Linked DNA regions of Callithrix jacchus. The protein of the gene in region 1 interacts with the protein of each later gene in a pairwise test. Links are inferred from orthologs where the notes say so. Each region holds a gene or a part of one and is shown in the gene's direction. Other genes may lie near its edges. The genes, in order: CCDC184, PBLD, STX11, PIN1 and GPANK1.

Region 1 (4,270 bases):
ATTGGTATAGGCCAAACAGTCCTCTAGTGTCATTAAAGTTTCCCTGGGCCAGCTTCATCTTCATCACCAAGCACATAACCAGGGAAAACCCAAGGTAACACATTTGCTGTTGCCGAATCGCCAATTTACAAAACACTCACCTCTACCTAGTTCTTCTCTATCTTGAAGTGATACAGTTTGTTTCTCTTCCCCAGATTCATTCTTGCGAATTTCATTTCTGGTTTCTGATCACTTGTCTTCCCTAATTTCCTAGGATCATTATTAACTGGTGTGCTCCGCCCAGGTGCCCATTCCTTCTCAATCTGGTATCATCTACATATATTAAAGACCATTTTTCTTCTTCCTCCGCCCTTCCTGCTCCACCCCTTAAATAGGGAAAGGGGTTGTCACAAAGGTTGGGGACACTCAGTGTAGGTCTGAACTTGGGCACTGAAAGAGAGAGCGGGAATTACTCTAACACGCAGTCCCTCCATTCATCCCCTCCACACAACGGCCAGCGGTCTGTTTACCTTCTCACCTGTGAGATGCTGCAGAGTGTTATTCAGAATTAGAAATGAGATTGCAGATTATCCAGTCCAATTCCCTAACAGATGAGGCGAATGATGTGGCTAAGGTCTCTGAATGAATAAGTGGCGGAAACGAAACTGAATTCGGGTCTCCTAAAACCCACTACGATTGGCTTGGAGAGTTCTGGATGACAGCAGGGGACTTGGTGGTTTTTGGTAAAGTTTTCATTCAATCACTATATTAAGCATCTATATACTAGGTGCCAGGCACTATTTTAGGAGCTGGGGATTCCGTGATGGAGGGAGCAGCGGGGACGAAAATCTCGCCCTTACGGAGCTTTCATTCTCCAAACTTAAGGACTTGGCCTCCCCATCCGGGCAGACTCCCGGGGACTTGGGTGGGGGCAGCAGGGTCCCACAAAGAAGGGAGTCCCGTCCTTCCCCGGCTCCGGTAGAGACAGGCTTTCTGTAGAGACAGGGCTGATTTACTGCGGAAAGCTCCGTAGTGCCCTCCTCCTGCCTCTGCACCGCCAGGCCTGGTGGGGCCGGCTCCGGAGCGCCAGCACGCCCAGCCCAACTCTGGGACGGCCGGCATCAGCCTCGCTGCCCCTCCGCCCTCCTGAGCACCGCTGCAGGACAGGGAGGCAGGACCCTACTTTAGCGCCGTCCTCTGGGAAAGGACTGAGGGCTGCAAAAATCCTTCAGGGCAGTCGCGCTGGGCCTCGCCCTCCGTTAGGGGAGGGCCGATCTCTCCGGGACGCGGAGGTGTCTGCAGCGAACGGCTCTCTCACGCTTCCCACTAAACCCTGCAGGCGCCCGCTCCTCCCGGCCTGGGCCGAAGCCTCTGCAGCGCCCCCTCCGCCTCCCCCACCCCTCGTGCGGGCTCCAGAGCCCACTGCAGCCTCCGGCCGGCTCCCTTTCCTCTCCACTTCCTGGTTACCATGGAGACAGACGTCACGTACGTGCCGTGCGTCGCCTTGGAAACCAGGAGCATCCGCGGCGCCTCCGGGTGACCCGCCCCAGCTGCTGCCGCCACACTCCGGGCACTGCCCGTTGGTGCCTGGGGGAGTCCCGAGCCCGACGCGCCGCTGGCCTCAGCCTCGCCCCGGGCCCCTCGGCGAGCGCGTCTGTGACCCACGGAGCCGGCGGGCGCTCTGCTCGTGGCGTCCAGAGGGCGGCGCTGACGGCGGCGATCCGGGAGGCCGGGCGGGGCAGGGCGCTCTCGTCCCGGGGCGAGCCCAAGAGACGCCGGCTCCGGGACCCTCTCCGGGCCCCTCGCCCCGCCGCCTCTCCTCGGCCTCCCGCGATCCCGCCCGCGCCCTCTGCCCGGGACTCGGCTCTCACGTGGGCTCCCCGCCCGTCTCGGGGGCCTCCGCTTCCCTCGGCTCCTCCCCGCCCCTCCCGGGACCTCTCCCCCCCCACCCCCACCCCGAGGCCGGGCAGGACGCGACCCGGAGCCGCCGCCACCGCTTCTGCCACTCCATGGAGGACGGTCTGCTGGAGATCAGGACCAAGGACGGCGGCGACATGCCAGCGCCCCTGGAGGTGTCCGCCGTGCCGGCCGTGGGGGACGTGATCTCCGGGGAGTACAACGGCGGCATGAAGGAGCTGATGGAGCACCTGAAAGCCCAGCTGCAGGCCCTGTTTGAGGACGTGAGGGCCATGAGGGGCGCCCTGGACGAGCAGGCCTCGCACATCCAGGTGCTCTCGGACGACGTGTGCGCCAACCAGCGAGCCATCGTCTCCATGTGCCAGATCATGACCACGGCGCCCCGCCAGGGCGGCCTGGGCGTGGTCGGCGGCAGCGGGAGCTTCCGGAGCGACCCCCGAGAGCCGGGCACTCCGTCGCCGGGGATCGGGGACAGCGGCTTGCTGGGCGGCGACCCCGAGGACGAGGAGGACGACGAAGAAGAGAAGGAGATGCCCAGTCCCGCCACACCCACCAGTCACTGTGAGCGCCCCGAGAGCCCCTGTGCTGGTCTCCTTGAGGGGGACGGGCCACTCGTGGAGCCCCTCGACCTGCCCGACATTACCCTGCTGCAACTGGAGGGCGAGGCGTCCCTGTGAGGGGACTCCGCGGGGCACCACCTTCCCGGGCTGGCCTTGGGGACCGAACGGCGCGGTGCGGCACGCTTCGCTTGGACAGCTGCTCTTGTGGGTCAGGCAGAGAGAGGCTCCCTCGAGGAAGGATTTGTAGGGCGAAGGACTTGGGGAGCATGAATAATTCTTTCTGCCCAGCTAAGCAGATTACAGCAAACTGCGGAAAGGTGAGGTTCCGGGAGAGGACGCGCCCACCTCTGGACTCCCATCCGTCCCCTGTCCTGTCCTTTCCCCCTCCCCAGACAACAGGACGACCCCTGAATTGTGTAAATAAATTTCTGCTTTTTCTATTCTGAAAAAGGACTTATCTAGGACCACGGCAAATAATCTCTAACGATTTACCTAGAAATTAAGGACTTGGGGGTATTCTGTTCTGGCAACAGGAAATTTACCCTTCTGCCGAAATCCAAGATATTCAGTGCTCTGCAGAAGCCTCTCCCCTTCACGGACCTCTGCGGCTGCTGATTGGTAAAGGAAGCCTGAGGAGGGAACCGCAGCCCTGGGAATCCTGGTGAATGGGGTTCCAAGGGCCCCTGGGCTGGGAGGAGCTGGCTGTGAATGTGCATGAAGACATAATAGCTCAACCTCTAGGATTCTGCATGCAGAGCGGATCCTGCCTTGTCACTGACTTCATCTGGGGTAGCTTTTCCACTCACTGGGGCAGAGAGAACAAAGAGCCCGGTTCACAGGCAGAGACTCAGGGGTGCTCAGCAGCAGCCCAGATTTAGGGGACGTTTGAGGGACTCTTGGGGCCGCAGCCATAAACTGTCTCTCCTGGCTACATCTGCTTAACTTCAGTTCCTTTTTCTGTCAATATGTCCCCGCCCGCTGCCTCTCGGTGTTGCCTCCATAATGTCTTGTGTGTGTTCTGTGTGTCCACTTGTGTAGTAGTGTGTGAGCCCTGAGGGGCAGGGCTTGTGGCTCTGGTGTTAGGTTCAGGGGGCTTCAGACCCTTCTGTGAGCTCCAAGCTATCATGGCGCTTTCCCCTCCCTCTTCCCCCAACCAGGGCATGGTGCATGTGGCTGTCCTGAGGTTCCTTTACTGATGTGCGACCCTCCCATCTCCTCAAGTGGTGACTGTGTGCCCTCCCCTCCTTTGTGTATTCCTTCTCAATGCTTTCCTTGGTATTAATCTTAATAAAAAAGGCGTCATCTCCCCTTCTTGCTGACTAGTACTAGGGGAATATCAGGGTGGGGCTTAGTGGGAACTGCAGGGACCATGCCTTCCCTCCTCTCTCTTTGCCTCCAATTGAAGGAGTTGACTGTCTGCTCTGGTTGGGACAGGCATTGCCAACCCTACCTGCTTTCCTTTCTGTCCTGGACCTTGACCTCAAGCTGCCCTGGGGAAGGAGGTGGTAAGTGTTGAGATTCCCATGCTAACATGGGTTTTTAGTATCCAGAACTCCAAATGGGCAGGTGATATCTTTTCAGTGAAGCATCTGGCCTCTGGGAGAATGATTTCCGAATCTGGGTCCTGGAATGCCAGGTACTGCACCTGCTCCGTGGAAGGAGTGGGGTGGGGGTATTGTTCTGGAGGGATTGCCTGGGATCTCTGGAAACAGTGACACATCACAAAGGGAAACCACAGTAACTGCCTCAGGCCTCTAGCGGAGAACCCGGGTAAGGAGTTCCCCAGAGAGCTTGACTGACAGCTCTAGTCTACT
Region 2 (3,517 bases), on another chromosome or scaffold:
TGCAGGGGTTCATTTTCTCTGCTAGACATTAATTTTCCCTGTCTGTACCATGTTAAAGGGTTAATAATCGTTTGTCTTTGTGATGGGCAGGCAGTAGTGAGGCTGGTTAAAGCATGACTTTGAGCCACTCAAATAAAAAGCTAACATGTATTAAGTACTTACTATGTGTTGGGCACTGGGTTATTTCTTTCTCTCACTCAACTCTCCTCTCTGAAGTCTCTCTCTGGGTGGGCTGGGGCACAATGGCTCATGCCTGTCATTCTAGCACTTTGGGAGGCTGATATGGGTGCATTCATTGCCTGAGCTCAGGAGTTCAAGACCAGCTTGGGCAACTTGGTGAAACTCCATCTCTACTAAAATACAAAAAGTTAGCCAGGCTTGCTTGTGCGTTCTTTAGTCCCAGGTACTCAGGGAGGCCAAGGTGGGAGAATGGCTTAGAACCTGGGAGGCGGAGGTTGCAGTGAGCTGAGATCATGCCACTGCACTCTAGCCTGGGTGACAGAGTAAGCCTCCGTCTCAAAACACACAAGTGCGTGTGCCCACACACACACACACACACACACACCCCAAACCTGCCTTTTTTTTTTTTTTTTTTTTTTTTTGAGACAGAGTCTCGCTCTTTCACCCATGCTGAAGTGCAGTGGTACCATCTCAGCTCACTGCAACCTCTGCTTCCCGGGTTCAAGCCGTTCTACTGTCTCAGCCTCCTGAGAATCTGGGATTACAGGTGCGCACCACCATACCTGGCAAATTTTTGTATTTTTAGTAGAGACAGGGTTTCGCCATGTTGGCCAGGCTAGTCTCCAACTCCTGACCTCAAGTAACCCACCCACCTCGGGCTCCCAAAGTGCTGGGATTACAGGCGTGAGCCATCGTGCCCAGCCCCTGCCAGGATTTTTATGTCAGCTAATAGTTTTAAAAATCATGACTGATTTTTCACAGTAGTCACTGTTTTATGCCCTGTACAATTATATAGAACATGTTTCAAAAGATTTTGAATCAAAGAGTATTTAATTTGCATAACTCGGAGAAGTGAATTATGAATTTACTAATATAAAATTATTATTCTTCTGGGTTTCAGGAGATCAAGAGCAGTAAATTTGGCCAAAACAAAGATGCATTTGCTTTGAAAATTCTTTAAAATTCAAAATCAAACTAGTAAGCATTTTATTGATTAAAAATGGATTTTCCTTCTCAATAGGAAAACATATTTCAGGTCCACTTTTTTCCTTGAGTTAAGAGGAATGTGTGTGTGTGTGTGTGTGTGTGCATGCGTGCGTGTGCGTGTGTGTTTGTATGCATGTATATATCTTCACAATAAACTTTGACTTAAGTGCTATTATTCCCATCTTAAAGGTTTGGAAACTGAGGCCATAAGAGTAAATGGCTTGCCCACTTTTACACTGCTACTAGGGACTCACCCAGGATAGAAATTCAATTCTGTTGCCGGTGCAGTGGCTCGCACCTATAATCCCAGCACTTTGGGAGGCTTAGGCAGTCTGATTGCCTGAGCTCAGGAGTTTGAGACCAGCCTGGGCAACACGGTGAAAGCCTCTCTCTACTAAAATAATACAAAAAATAAGTTGGGCATGGTGGCGTGCACCTGTAGTCCCAGTTACTTGGGAGGTTGAGGCAAGAGTATTGTTTGAACCTGGGAGGCAGAGATTGCAGTGAGCCGAGATCACGCCACTGCTCTCCAGCCTGGGAGACAGAGCAAGACTCTGTCTCAAAAAAACAAAAACAAAGAAAACCAAATTCAATTCTGTTTTCAAACCCACATAAGTTTTTAACATTTTATTTTGAAAAATTAACCTACAGAAAAGTTTCAAGAATGATACAATGAACATGCATATTCCCTTCCTCTATATTCACCAGTTGTTACTATTTAAAAAAATTTTTTTTCTAGACTCAAGGTCTTGTTATGTTGCCCAGGCTGGTCTCCAACTCCTGGGCATAAGCGATCCACTAGCCTCAGCCTCCCAAAATGCTGGGATTATAGGCATGAGCCACTGTGCCTGGCCAGTTGTTACTATTGTCCACATTTGTAAAACCCTCATCCTTTTTCTTTTCTTTTTTGTTTTTGAGACAGAGTCTTGCTCTGTCACCCAGTCTGGAGTGCAGTGGCACAATCATGGCTCACTGCAGCCTTGATCTCTGGGCTCAAGCGATCCTCCCGCCTCAGCCTCCTGTGTAGCTGGGACCATAGGCAAGCACCACCATGGCTGGCTAAACTTTTTATTTTTATTTTTAATAGAGACTGGTGGGTGGGAGTGTCTCTCTATGTTGCCCAGTGGTCTTGAACTCCTGGTCTCAAGCAATCCTCCTACTTTGGCCTCCCAAAGTGTTAGGATTACAGGCATAAGACACCATGCCCCGCTAAAGCCCTCATTCTTTTTCTTTATTTTAAGTATTTTATTTAAAGAGACAGGGTCTCACTGACTGTCTTGTTACTCAGGCTGGCCTTGAACTCCTATACACAAGCTACCCTCCTGCCTCAGCCTCCCAAAGTGCTGGGATTACAGGCATGAGCCACCATGCTTAGCTAAACTCTCATGCTTAATCACTGTACTGTTTATTAGGTATATGGTGGTCTTGGGATATTATATGATCCATCTGTTTAATTTCTTCATTTGTAAGGGCATAAAAAATTACATTGAGGGTTTTTAAAATGGGATTAAGTGAAATAATATACTTATTTTTTCTACAAATGTTTATTAATCTCCTACTGTGCTGGGATGAATACCAGACGTTGTTCCAGGTCCGGACAAAGCAAGACAGCACAGTCCATACCCAAACAGAACTTAGAATCAGAGGTGGGGAGGCCAGACAGTGAAGGGCACACAAGGCAATTTCAGGATATCTAAGCACTGGAGAGGAGACAACACCTTTAGATACAGTGGTCTGGGAAGGCTTACTGGAGGAGGTGACCCCTGGCCAGAAGCCCTTCCCACAGAAGGGAATAAATGCAAAGACAGGGGAAGAACGGTCCAGCCTGCCCAGAGTGAGTGCTGAGCATCTCTTTCACCAACATAGCAAGAGACTGGGGTACTGCCTTTTGTGGAGATTGTTTTTAGAAGAGAGCACACTTTGTCAGCTAGACTAGATCTTAATTTGACAAAAGATAGGCTAGGCCAGCCAGTTTTTCACAATCTATTCCAGATTGCACATTTATAACTCTTCTTCACAGGGTATGGCAAGCATGGATTTCTGAGAATCAGTCTTTATAAAAGGTGCCTTGAATTCCTTGGTAATGATTTCCTTTTAAGCATGTTACTTTTATTATTAACAAACTGCTTTTTAAATTAACGGTAGTTGCTGTCCAAAGGAAGTCTGATCTGTGTTTCTGAAATCTCAATAATCTTTTGTTTCTAATTAAGGAATTGGATGAAGACATGCATCAGAAAATTGCAAGGGAAATGAACCTCTCTGAAACTGCTTTTATCCGAAAAATGCACCCGACAGACAACTTTACACAAAGTAAATATGCATTTTTTTTTAACTGCTCTGTCGCCCAGGC
Region 3 (2,776 bases), on another chromosome or scaffold:
AGTTCCCAGACGGGGACGATGAGTTTGACTCGCCCCACGAGAACATTGTGTTCGAGACGGACCACATCCTGGAGTCCCTGTACCGAGACATCCAGGACATCCAGTATGAAAACCAGCTGCTGGTGGCCGACGTGAAGCGGCTGGGAAAGCAGAACGCCCGATTCCTCACGTCCATGCGGCGCCTCAGCAGCATCAAGCGCGACACCAACTCCATCGCCAAGGCCATCAAGGCCCGGGGCGAGGTCATCCACCGCAAGCTGCGCGCCATGAAGGAGCTGAGCGAGGCGGCCGAGGCCCAGCACGGCCAGCACTCGGCGGCGGCGCGTATCTCGCGGGCACAGTACAACGCGCTCACCCTCACCTTCCAGCGTGCCATGCACGACTACAACCAGGCCGAGATGAAGCAGCGCGACAACTGCAAGATCCGCATCCAGCGCCAGCTGGAGATCATGGGCAAGGACGTCTCGGGCGACGAGATCGAGGACATGTTCGAGCAGGGCAAATGGGACGTGTTCTCCGAGAACCTGCTGGCCGATGTGAAGGGCGCGCGGGCCGCCCTCAACGAGATCGAGAGCCGCCACCGTGAGCTGCTGCGCCTGGAGAGCCGCATCCGTGACGTGCACGAGCTCTTCTTGCAGATGGCGGTGCTGGTGGAGAAGCAGGCCGACACCCTGAACGTCATCGAGCTCAACGTGCAGAAGACGGTGGACTACACCGGCCAGGCCAAGGCGCAGGTGCGCAAGGCCGTGCAGTACAAGAAGAAGAACCCCTGCCGGACCATCTGCTGTTTCTGCTGTCCCTGCCTCAAGTAGCAGGCCGGCCCGGGCCGCCGCCACCCATCCTAGACCCTAGAGAGCGCTGGGAAGGACGCACCAAGAGTTGCCCCAACTCTTAACGGAACTCAGTCTTTAAAGAAGAATCGCAGGGTCCAAGAATTGCAAGCCAGCCCATGCTTGAAAGGATAGTTAGCACACTGTCCGATGGTTCTTCAGTAAAGACGGATTCCTACAAAGTTGTGCAATGTCATTATATGATACCCTTGCACTCTTACCCTCTTGACGGAAGCCAAGAAAAGGACTGACGTTGTATCTGACTGTAGGGTGAATGTCTGAGGCCTGCCTCCTAATAAAGACTCAAGGAGGAAGTCAGTTGTGCGTCTGAAAATAGAATGGCCTCATGATGGAAACTTCAGTTTTTACGTTGTATAGAAAATTCCCTGGTTCTGGCTCACGCCTGTAATCCCAGCACTTTGGGAGGCTGAGGCGGGTGGATCACGAGGTCAACAGATCGAGACCATCCTGGTCAACATGGTGAAACCCCGTCTCTACTAAAAATACAAAAAAATTAGCTGGGCACAGTAGTGCGTGCCTGTAATCCCAGCTACTTAGGAGGCTGAGGCAGGAGAATTGCCTGAACCCAGGAGGCGGAGGTTGCGGTGAGCCGAGATCGTACCATTGCACTCCAGCCTGGGTAACAAGAGCGAAACTCCGTCTCAAAAGAAAAAAAAAAAAAAAAGAAAGAAAGAAAGAAAGAAAATTCCCTGGTTCTGTTCCATTTTGAGCAAAATTGACCTTGGGAAAAACCATGTTCTTCCTTTCCGATTCTTCATCCGGTCTATGCTATACAATTCCTCCCCAAGGGTAGACCTTATTTCTGCTCATTTCCCCTACTTATTAAAATCACACCAAACACTTAGTATTTCCTTATCTCTTTCACTTTTTAAATATCTTTCACCAGGTTATATTTTGGGATTATTTTTCCAAATGTTTTTAAGCACTGAATATCGAACAAGCACTCAAAATGAAGTACCAGTCGTGTTTTATGTATTTTTCACTGATAAAAATTATTTAACATTTATCTTTTTACTTGATTACATATGCACATATATATGTAAATGTAAGGTACTAATATTCACAAATGTGTGTATATAATGATCAATTGGTTTAGCTTCTTTTTTGTAAGTATGGTATATAAATTTCAAGAAGAACACCTTCTGGCTCTTGGTATTGATTTGCTTGTTTTGAGTCTGTTTCTCTCCAGTTTTCCCCTTTTAAGTCAAAACTTCATATTAAACAACTCTGCGTTGGTTATGGTGGTAGACAGGTGTTGAAAGCTGAAAATGTATACAGAGCTAGAGACAACTAACATTATTGGAAATACTGCTTTTGTTCCACTGTGGACCATTCTTTTCATGCATTGAAATGAAGTAATTTAAAGTAAAAGAATTTTGTTTTCTAAGCAAGACTAATAAACATTACATTATGAATATATTTTTATACATTTGTGTCGACCATTTAGTTTACTTTCTTAATTACTGTTAAATTTTTTTTTCTTTTTTCTTTTTTCTGGGGGTGGAGGCTGGGCAGGGGCCAATTTTTTTTTTTCTTTTCTTTTTTTACCTTTTGAAACAGGGTCTCCCCCTGTCACCCAGGCTGAAGTGCAGTGGCATAATCATGGCTTGCTGCAGCCTTAAGCTCTCAGGTTCACGTGATCCTCCTACCTCAGCCGGCAAATAATTAAGACTACAGTTATGTGCCGTCATGCCCAGCTAATTTTTGTATTTTCTGTAGACACAGGGTTTGGCATGTTGCCCAGGCTGATCTCAAACTTGTGAGCTCAAGCAATCCGCCTACCTTGGCCTCCCAAAATGCTGAGATTGCAGGCCTGAGCCACTGCTCCTGGCCAGAATTTTTTTCTACTATCTACTTGAGACTGCCACACCTGGACAGAACTGAGTGGAGAGAGAAAAGAATGAAAAACTCAAAGAATTACCAAG
Region 4 (2,871 bases), on another chromosome or scaffold:
TCTGCTGGCAGCCCTGTTCCTCCTTCCTCCACCAGCCCTGGCCTTCCCTTCCTCCTGGAGATTCAGACCTGATGGGCTGGTTTGGGCCACACAGGGAGGGGCCATCCTGAGTTCTGCCAGCATGCAGACTGTAGGTAGGAAGCTGGGAGAAGAGCTTTGTCGCCTGCCTCTGGGACCCTGGGACCCACAGTCTTCGAGTGTCCCTTGCAAAGCCCACCAGGGTGCCTCGGAGGCCTTTCCCAGTGCCAGGCTGTTCTTCCCAGATGGAACAGCATGGGAGGGCTGCTGTGGCAGTGTTGGGCCCTCCCTGGACAGCTCTCCTACCTCTGCCCAGAGGACCCCGGGGGCCCAGCCCCCTGCCTGGGTCAGCCTCTCCCTGCCTCCCACTCTGGCCTGTCCAGCTTGGATATAGATTTTCCCTCAAGTGTGTGTGTGTGTGTGTGTGTGTGTGCACGCGCGCGTGTGTGTGCACGCGCGCGTGCGTGCGTGCACATGGTGAGAGTGACAGCGGGAGCAGGGGTGTGAGACTCACAGGGTGGCAGGACTCATGGATGACTGGTGGGGTGCACCAAGTGCTGATGCACATGAAGGTGCATCTTCTTGGGTGAGGACAGGTGTGACTGGGTGCAAGTGTGTGTGAGGAGAAGGGTTGTGGGGCGCATGTGCACTTGTAGGGGGAGGTTTTCCAAGTGAAGTGCTGCCCCCCTCCCACCCAGCTCTGGAGCCCTCCATCCCGTTTGGTCAGGTGCCCCTGCCCCTGACCTGGCACTCCCATTCCATTCCATGTCTGCAGGCTACATCCAGAAGATCAAGTCAGGAGAGGAGGACTTTGAGTCTCTGGCCTCACAATTCAGCGACTGCAGCTCAGCCAAGGCCAGGGGAGACCTGGGCGCCTTCAGCAGAGGTGCGCAAGGAATGGGCTTCACCAGGTCTGGGGACCCTCTCCTCCCTAAGGGGTAGAGGCTGGGAGGGTCTGGGCACTGGGATCCGGGGTGCCACATGGCCCTTCAGGGTCCAGCAGGTGGCAGCACAGCCCCTTCCTCAGGCTTCAGAGTCTGCTCTGCTGGGCAGGGCGGGGGCCACACAGGGTGGGGGCTGCAGAGCTTTCTTCCTGGCATCGTCTCTATCCCGGGCCCACCAAGGCAGGTGCGTCCTGTCCTCTGCCTCTTCCTTTGGGGGTTTAAGGCTGGGTTCCCTGAGAATCCCAGGGAATGTTCCCCAGAATCCCTCTGGGTGGGGGGAGGTGGCCCTGAGTTTAGGCCTGTCTGGCCAGGACAGTGGAAATCAGGGGCAGAGAGGACCAAGCATCCTCCTTTTCCTTCTCAGGGTCTGCAAACAGGGAGAGGCCAGGCTGGGGTGTGGGGTGCATGCATCTGAGGGGGTTGGGGGTCCATAATGGGGCCAGCAGCTTCCCCCCTGCTCCGAGGAGGCTGGTGGGACAGATGACCTGGCAGGGCTGGGAACCAGGCCCAGGGAGATGAGTTCACTACCGAAGCGACCCCTAAACGCGCAGCAGCGGCTGCAGCCCTGCCTGCCATCCTTCATGCTGTCCTCGGGCTTCCTGGGGCCTCTTTAATGGCCCTGCCGCCCCCAGCTGGGCCACCACTCAGCACCGGCAATAAACATGGTGACGGATGAGTGTGGACGAGTGTGAGGCTCAGCGCAGTCAGGAGCCCCATCTATTGTGGCTGCCACCCGCCCTGCCTTATCCTGGCCTCTGACAACCCTGCCTTGACACCCCACCATCCCTCCCGGCTCCCAGGTCAGATGCAGAAGCCATTTGAAGATGCCTCATTTGCGCTGCGGACGGGAGAGATGAGCGGGCCCGTGTTCACGGATTCTGGCATCCACATCATTCTCCGCACAGAGTGAGGGTGGGGAGCCCAGGCCTGGCCTCTGGGTGGGGCAGGGCGGCTGGGCCCGCCAGCTCCCCCACTGCCTGCCGGCCAGTGGTCAAACCCCCTACTCCCTGCCACCGTCAAACAGTATTTATTGTTCCCAAAATGGCTGGGAGGGGGCCCTTCCAGATTGGGGGCCCTAGAGTCCCCACTCCCCGTCCATTCCCAGTTGGGGCTGCGACTGCCAGGCTCTCCCTTAAGGAATTGACTTCAGCAGGGGTGGAAGGTGCCCAGAACCAGGGCAGTGTGGTGGGAGGGGTGTTCCAAAGAGAAGGCCTGGTCAGCAGAGCCGCCCCGTGTCTTCCCCAGGTCCTGGAGGCAGACTCGAGGGCCGAGTTGTTTCTAGTTAGGCCACGCTCCTCTGTTCAGTTGCAAAAGCAAACACTCGTGCGGCCCAGCAGTGGGCCCTCTGAGCAACCGTGCAGTACCCTTTTACCCCAATTAAACACCTAGAACCACTACTCCGCTCTCTTATGTCTCATTTCTCTTTAGGGAAGCATAGGGGGCACCATGTCACTGGGAGGGGATCACAATCCCCCATCCTAAGGGTCCCAGCTATGCGTTTACCCTCAAGAGGCTCCCCCTTGCCCTGGGCCAGGGGGAGTCCCAGCAGCTGGCTCTCAGGGACGTGGGCACTGTTCAGCCACCCAGCACCCTGATACCTGCTTCCCTGGCATCTCAGGTGCTTCTGGAAGGTTCATGGGTCCAGCCCAGCACCCACTGCAGCTGTGGTTACCATGACAACAGGGCCCTCCGGGACTGGAGGGGGCTCCTGCAGGGAGGGGGATGGGAGCAGACACAGCTTCCAGTGCCTGAAGTGGGACAGGGGATCCTGGGGTGGGTGGTGAGGAGATGGGGTCCCCCACCAGTGTTGGGGCTGTGGGTGTGGCCTGCCTGATCCCCATCCCTGTTCAGTCAGCTGTGGGTCTGTTGGATGGAGAAGTGGTTATGCCTGCATACCCTACCCCCCCCT
Region 5 (4,266 bases), on another chromosome or scaffold:
TACTTGGGAGGCTGGAGCAGGAGAATCACTTGAACCTGGAAGGCAGAGGTTGCATTGAGGTGAGATCACACCACTACACTCCAGCCTGGGTGACAGAGCAAGACTCGGTCTCAAAAAGAAAAAAAGAGAAAGTCACAAATTGCCTAGTCCAACGTTATATTGCTGGAGGATGGCAGAGTTGGGACAGGCCCCAATTTTGCCACTTTAGCACAGATTTGCCGGGGGTTACTGAGGGGACTCTTCATTGATGGGAAGTTTTCAAGTAGCATATAAGAGAACGATGAGGAAGTGGAATATGTGGAGAAACGTCTAGTGGGAATCTATGTGGAGCTGGCAAGGAGGGGGGTTGAAGAGAACTCACTTCACAGAAGAATTCATTGCCACGGAGCCCACAGAACCAGGAAATCCAGGACACCTCCTCTGAGCTGCTCATCTTCACGTCAGCTGGAAAACGAAGAATGTCAGTAAAGCTCAAGTTCTCCCTCCTTGCCTCTGGTATCCTCCCTCCTCCCACATTCGGCCCTCCAACCACGGGAGACTTTAGAATTTGGAGCCGTCCTTTTTTAAAGGATCCCAAACTCTGAAACACTCCTCTCCAGCTCCTCTAATTTACGTCTCAGCTCCTTTTCTTTGAGGTTAAACACACTTTGGGGTCCCACCACTTGAGAGAACCCAACAGATACTTTGACCCACCAGCCTGACCCACATCCCTGGAGCTCCCGAAGGCCAGGGCCCTCTCTACTTTGTGTCACCTCCAGCACGGACCTCGGCTCAGGCTCCCTACCACTGCAGCTCTCTGCATGACCCCGGCGCCTTTCCCAAGCGTTTCGAAGTTTATCATTCTCTAGCAAGAGCCGGGCCCCTCCTCTTCTTATGGGCTGGAGCGACCGTCAAGTCCCTTTCACTGGAGTCCACACATCTTGCCTCCGCTCCTCAGGCCACCTCTCCCTCCTTTGTGCCGGACCTGGTCGCTTCCTCCCCCGCCCCCACATCAAAGTACGGAGACCCCATGTGCTGCTCCCAACAAGAGACTCTGAGTAGCGACGACCTCAGACTCACCGCCTGGACGGGGACCAGGACTGGGGTGGGGTAGGGAAGTCGCTAGTTCCAAAGAACGGCGGCGACCGCTACAGCGCAGGCCGCGGACCCGACCGCGGCAAGAGAAGTGGGGTGGGGGGGAGTGGAAATTGGGGAGGGTGGGGAAGAGGGCAACACGCAAGCGCCAAGGGTCAGGTGCTGCGATGGATGCCGGGACACGGAGTCCCAGGTAGAAAGAGAAACTGGTGAAATGAAGGAAAAGCGAACTACCAATCCCAGGAAGACCCGCGGACGACCTGGCTGTCACGAAGCCCCGGAGGAGGACGCTTGCGGGCGGGGCACAGCGAGAAGCCACCGGAAGCGGAAGCCAGGTATGACGTTTGGGGCCAGGGAGCCTGGGAAATATAGTTGTGTGCTCACTGGGAGAAAAGCCGAGATGGGGCGGGGAGAGGAGGGAGACACGCAGTTCCCGTCTAGTTCCGGCGCAGCGGGGCGCTGCTGCCCAGGGGACTGGCCCATCCCCGGCCAATCCGCTGGGTCCTTATTGATTGTTGAGCCCCTAGTGAGAGTCAGTCCCGCCGGACACCCTTGACTGGCCTCCTGTTACCCTCCCGGCTCTGGCCTCATGAGGCGAGAGGTGCAGTTTGGCTCCGTGCGTAGGGACTTGGGTTGGGTGGGCTGGGCTGAGCTGAGCTGAGCGTTGTGAGAACCAGAACGGCCCAGTGCGGTAACCTGAGGTGGGGCCAGCCATTTCGCTCGTCCCCTTGCACTTCTCCTTTTACGCTCTAAGTGTGACCTTAGAACCCTGGTCAGAGTAATGGTGAGGGGCAGGCGTGACGTTATTTCATTTCACGGCTTCTCGGCATTCCACAAGTTTCCCTCCGCCTCCTGAGGGCCTTTCCTAACACGGAGAGTGGATTCCCAGGTCCAGAAAATGGACTTGGAGCGAGGGGGCGGGGAGGGGGGCGGTTCACGTTGAGGAAGGCGAAGGGCATTGTGGGGGCGTATAGGTAAAAGTAGAACCCTAACCGACAGATCCTGGTGCTCGCGCCAGCGGGGCGCGCAGAGCTTTGCGCGTTTGCTATTGGAAAGGTTCCAGCGCGGGAAACTGAACTGGGAGCTTTGCGCACGCCTGAGCCCTCAAGTAATGTGGGTTGTGGTTTTTGTTGTTGTTGTCGTCGCCACGCATGCGTCTTCGTGCCGTGCGGCTGTTTGATTGTGTCAACTCTTCTGTTTAGAATAGTGCCATTTTGCCGTACGAAAGCTACACAGCATCGCAGACTGGAGCCTGTCCTCCAGATCTTCCTAGGGAGTGACTTCTGTTTCGGAGAAAACTCCAAAATGGTATCGAGGAAGATTTAAAGGGACAGGCTGATTTTTTTCTTAATGGTATGTGTGTTTTACGGAGGGGTAAAATGGTTTCAGAAAGAGGCTGGTATTTATTGTTGGTGAGGATGGGGGTGGGAGTGGGGGCGGGACGCAGGACCGCTGGACAACTGTCTCATGGAGTTTTATTAACCTTTGCTAAGGAGCAGAGTCGGTTATTGTAGGGTTCTGTGTTTTTACAGAAAACCTCTTTCCCTTAGGCCCTGCAAGGTCCTAAGTTGTGGCGTCATTTTAGCGGCAGGAGGGTGTTTTTTGACTAGTTTTTCTCATCCCAGCATGTCCCTGGAGACTCTGGTTGCTACAGGGGTCACCAGTAGCTTGGCTTGCTTGTGTCATCCTTCCCTTGCCTGGTTTCATTTTCTCATTTCTCCCAAAAGCCATGTCCCGGCCCTTCCTCATCACCTTCACCCCAGCCACTGACCCCAGCGACCTCTGGAAGGATGGGCAGCAGCAGCAGCCACAGCCCAAGGAGCCAGAGTCCACCCTGGATGGGGCTGCAGCCCGAGCTTTCTATGAGGCCCTGATTGGGGATGAGAGCAGTGCTCCTGACTCCCAGAGATCTCAGACTGAACCTGCCAGAGAAAGAAAGAGAAAGAAAAGAAGAATAATGAGGGCAGCTGCGGCAGAAGCAGTGGCAGCAGGACCATCAGGAAGACATGGACAAGGGAGATCCCTTGAGGCTGAGGAAAAGATGACTCAGCAGATACTGAGGGCAGCCCAGGAGGGGGACCTAGCAGAACTTAGGAGACTGCTGGAGCCCCATGAAGCAGGAGGATCTGGGGGGAATATCAATGCTCGGGATGCCTTCTGGTGGACCCCACTGATGTGCGCTGCTCGAGCGGGCCAGGGGGCAGCTGTGAGCTATCTCCTGGGCCGTGGGGCTGCCTGGGTGGGGGTCTGTGAACTAGGGGGCAGGGATGCAGCTCAGCTCGCTGAAGAAGCTGGTTTCCCTGAGGTGGCTCGCATGGTCAGAGAGAGCCATGGAGAGACAAGGAGAACAGAGAACCGGTGAGGGGAAGCTAGTTCAGACCCATGTTTCAGTGTGTTCTGCCTTTCTCAGCCACTCCACACCAGAGGCCCCAGCACAGTGCTGAAGAGTTCTTTCCTTATGGTCATGTGTAAATTGTCATGGTGGTGTAGTCAAGTGGTTATGAATGTGAGCTCCCTGGATTGATTTATGTTATTATTTTTTTGAGACAAGAGTTTCGCTCTTGTTGCCCAGTGATCTCGGCACACCACAACCTCTGCCTCCTGGGTTCAAGTGATTCTCCTGCCTCAGCCTCCGAGTAGCTGGTATTACTGGCATGCTCCACCACACCTAGCTAATTCTTTACTTTTAGTAGAGACAGGGTTTCTCCATGTTGGTCTTGAACTCCCAACCTTAGGTGATCCATCTGCCTCGGCCTCCCAAAGTGCTGGGATTATAGGCGTGAGCTACCATGCCCAGCAGCTCCTTGGCTTTAAAGCCTGATTCCACTTACTTGGGCAAACAACCTAATGTCTACATGTCCTAGTTTTCCATCTTAGAAATGGGGGTAGTAAGGATTGTTGTTAGTATTCAGTGGGTTAATACATGTAAAATACTGGGTGTGGTGGCGCCTGCCTGTAGTCCCAGCTATTCGGGAGGCTAAGACTGGAGGATCTCTTGAGTCCAGGAGTTCTAGGCTGTAGTGTGCCATGCCGATTGGGTGTCCTCACTAAACTCGGCATCAATATGGTGACCTCCTGGGAGTGGGGGACCACCAGGTTGCCTAAGGAGGGTGAACCAGCCCACGTCAGAAACGGAGCAGGTCAAAACTCCCGTGCTGATCAGTAGTGGGATCGCACCTGTGACTAGCCACT

What was found.
Region 2: the proteins of CCDC184 (region 1) and PBLD interact in binary tests that used the Homo sapiens proteins (3 or more experiments, as listed by UniProt). The two-hybrid records come from large-scale screens. The link is inferred for Callithrix jacchus from reciprocal best matches to the Homo sapiens genes CCDC184 and PBLD.
Region 3: the proteins of CCDC184 (region 1) and STX11 interact in binary tests that used the Homo sapiens proteins (3 or more experiments, as listed by UniProt). The two-hybrid records come from large-scale screens. The link is inferred for Callithrix jacchus from reciprocal best matches to the Homo sapiens genes CCDC184 and STX11.
Region 4: the proteins of CCDC184 (region 1) and PIN1 interact in binary tests that used the Homo sapiens proteins (3 or more experiments, as listed by UniProt). The two-hybrid records come from large-scale screens. The link is inferred for Callithrix jacchus from reciprocal best matches to the Homo sapiens genes CCDC184 and PIN1.
Region 5: the proteins of CCDC184 (region 1) and GPANK1 interact in binary tests that used the Homo sapiens proteins (3 or more experiments, as listed by UniProt). The two-hybrid records come from large-scale screens. The link is inferred for Callithrix jacchus from reciprocal best matches to the Homo sapiens genes CCDC184 and GPANK1.

What each region holds. Positions count from the first base shown.
Region 1 is NC_133510.1:2,507,376-2,511,645, forward strand, and holds CCDC184 (coiled-coil domain-containing protein 184), read left to right. Parts: upstream 1-1,513; 5' UTR 1,514-1,988; coding exon 1,989-2,573; 3' UTR 2,574-3,767; downstream 3,768-4,270.
Region 2 is NC_133513.1:62,110,031-62,113,547, forward strand, and holds part of PBLD (phenazine biosynthesis-like domain-containing protein), read left to right. Parts: intron 1-3,377; coding exon 3,378-3,477; intron 3,478-3,517.
Region 3 is NC_133505.1:150,934,607-150,937,382, forward strand, and holds the end of STX11 (syntaxin-11), read left to right. Parts: coding exon 1-812; 3' UTR 813-2,270; downstream 2,271-2,776. UniProt on the Homo sapiens protein: SNARE that acts to regulate protein transport between late endosomes and the trans-Golgi network.
Region 4 is NC_133523.1:9,042,816-9,045,686, forward strand, and holds the end of PIN1 (peptidyl-prolyl cis-trans isomerase NIMA-interacting 1), read left to right. Parts: intron 1-793; coding exon 794-904; coding exon of another isoform or gene 905-929; intron 930-1,762; coding exon 1,763-1,872; 3' UTR 1,873-2,359; downstream 2,360-2,871. UniProt on the Homo sapiens protein: Peptidyl-prolyl cis/trans isomerase (PPIase) that binds to and isomerizes specific phosphorylated Ser/Thr-Pro (pSer/Thr-Pro) motifs.
Region 5 is NC_133505.1:39,167,668-39,171,933, reverse strand, and holds the start of GPANK1 (G patch domain and ankyrin repeat-containing protein 1), read left to right. Parts: upstream 1-1,459; 5' UTR 1,460-1,690; exon of another isoform or gene 1,691-1,770; coding exon of another isoform or gene 1,771-1,789; exon of another isoform or gene 1,790-2,187; intron 2,188-2,276; 5' UTR 2,277-2,427; intron 2,428-2,801; 5' UTR 2,802-2,803; coding exon 2,804-3,432; intron 3,433-4,266. Other genes in the region: CSNK2B (casein kinase II subunit beta), read right to left, coding at 362-444, 766-841.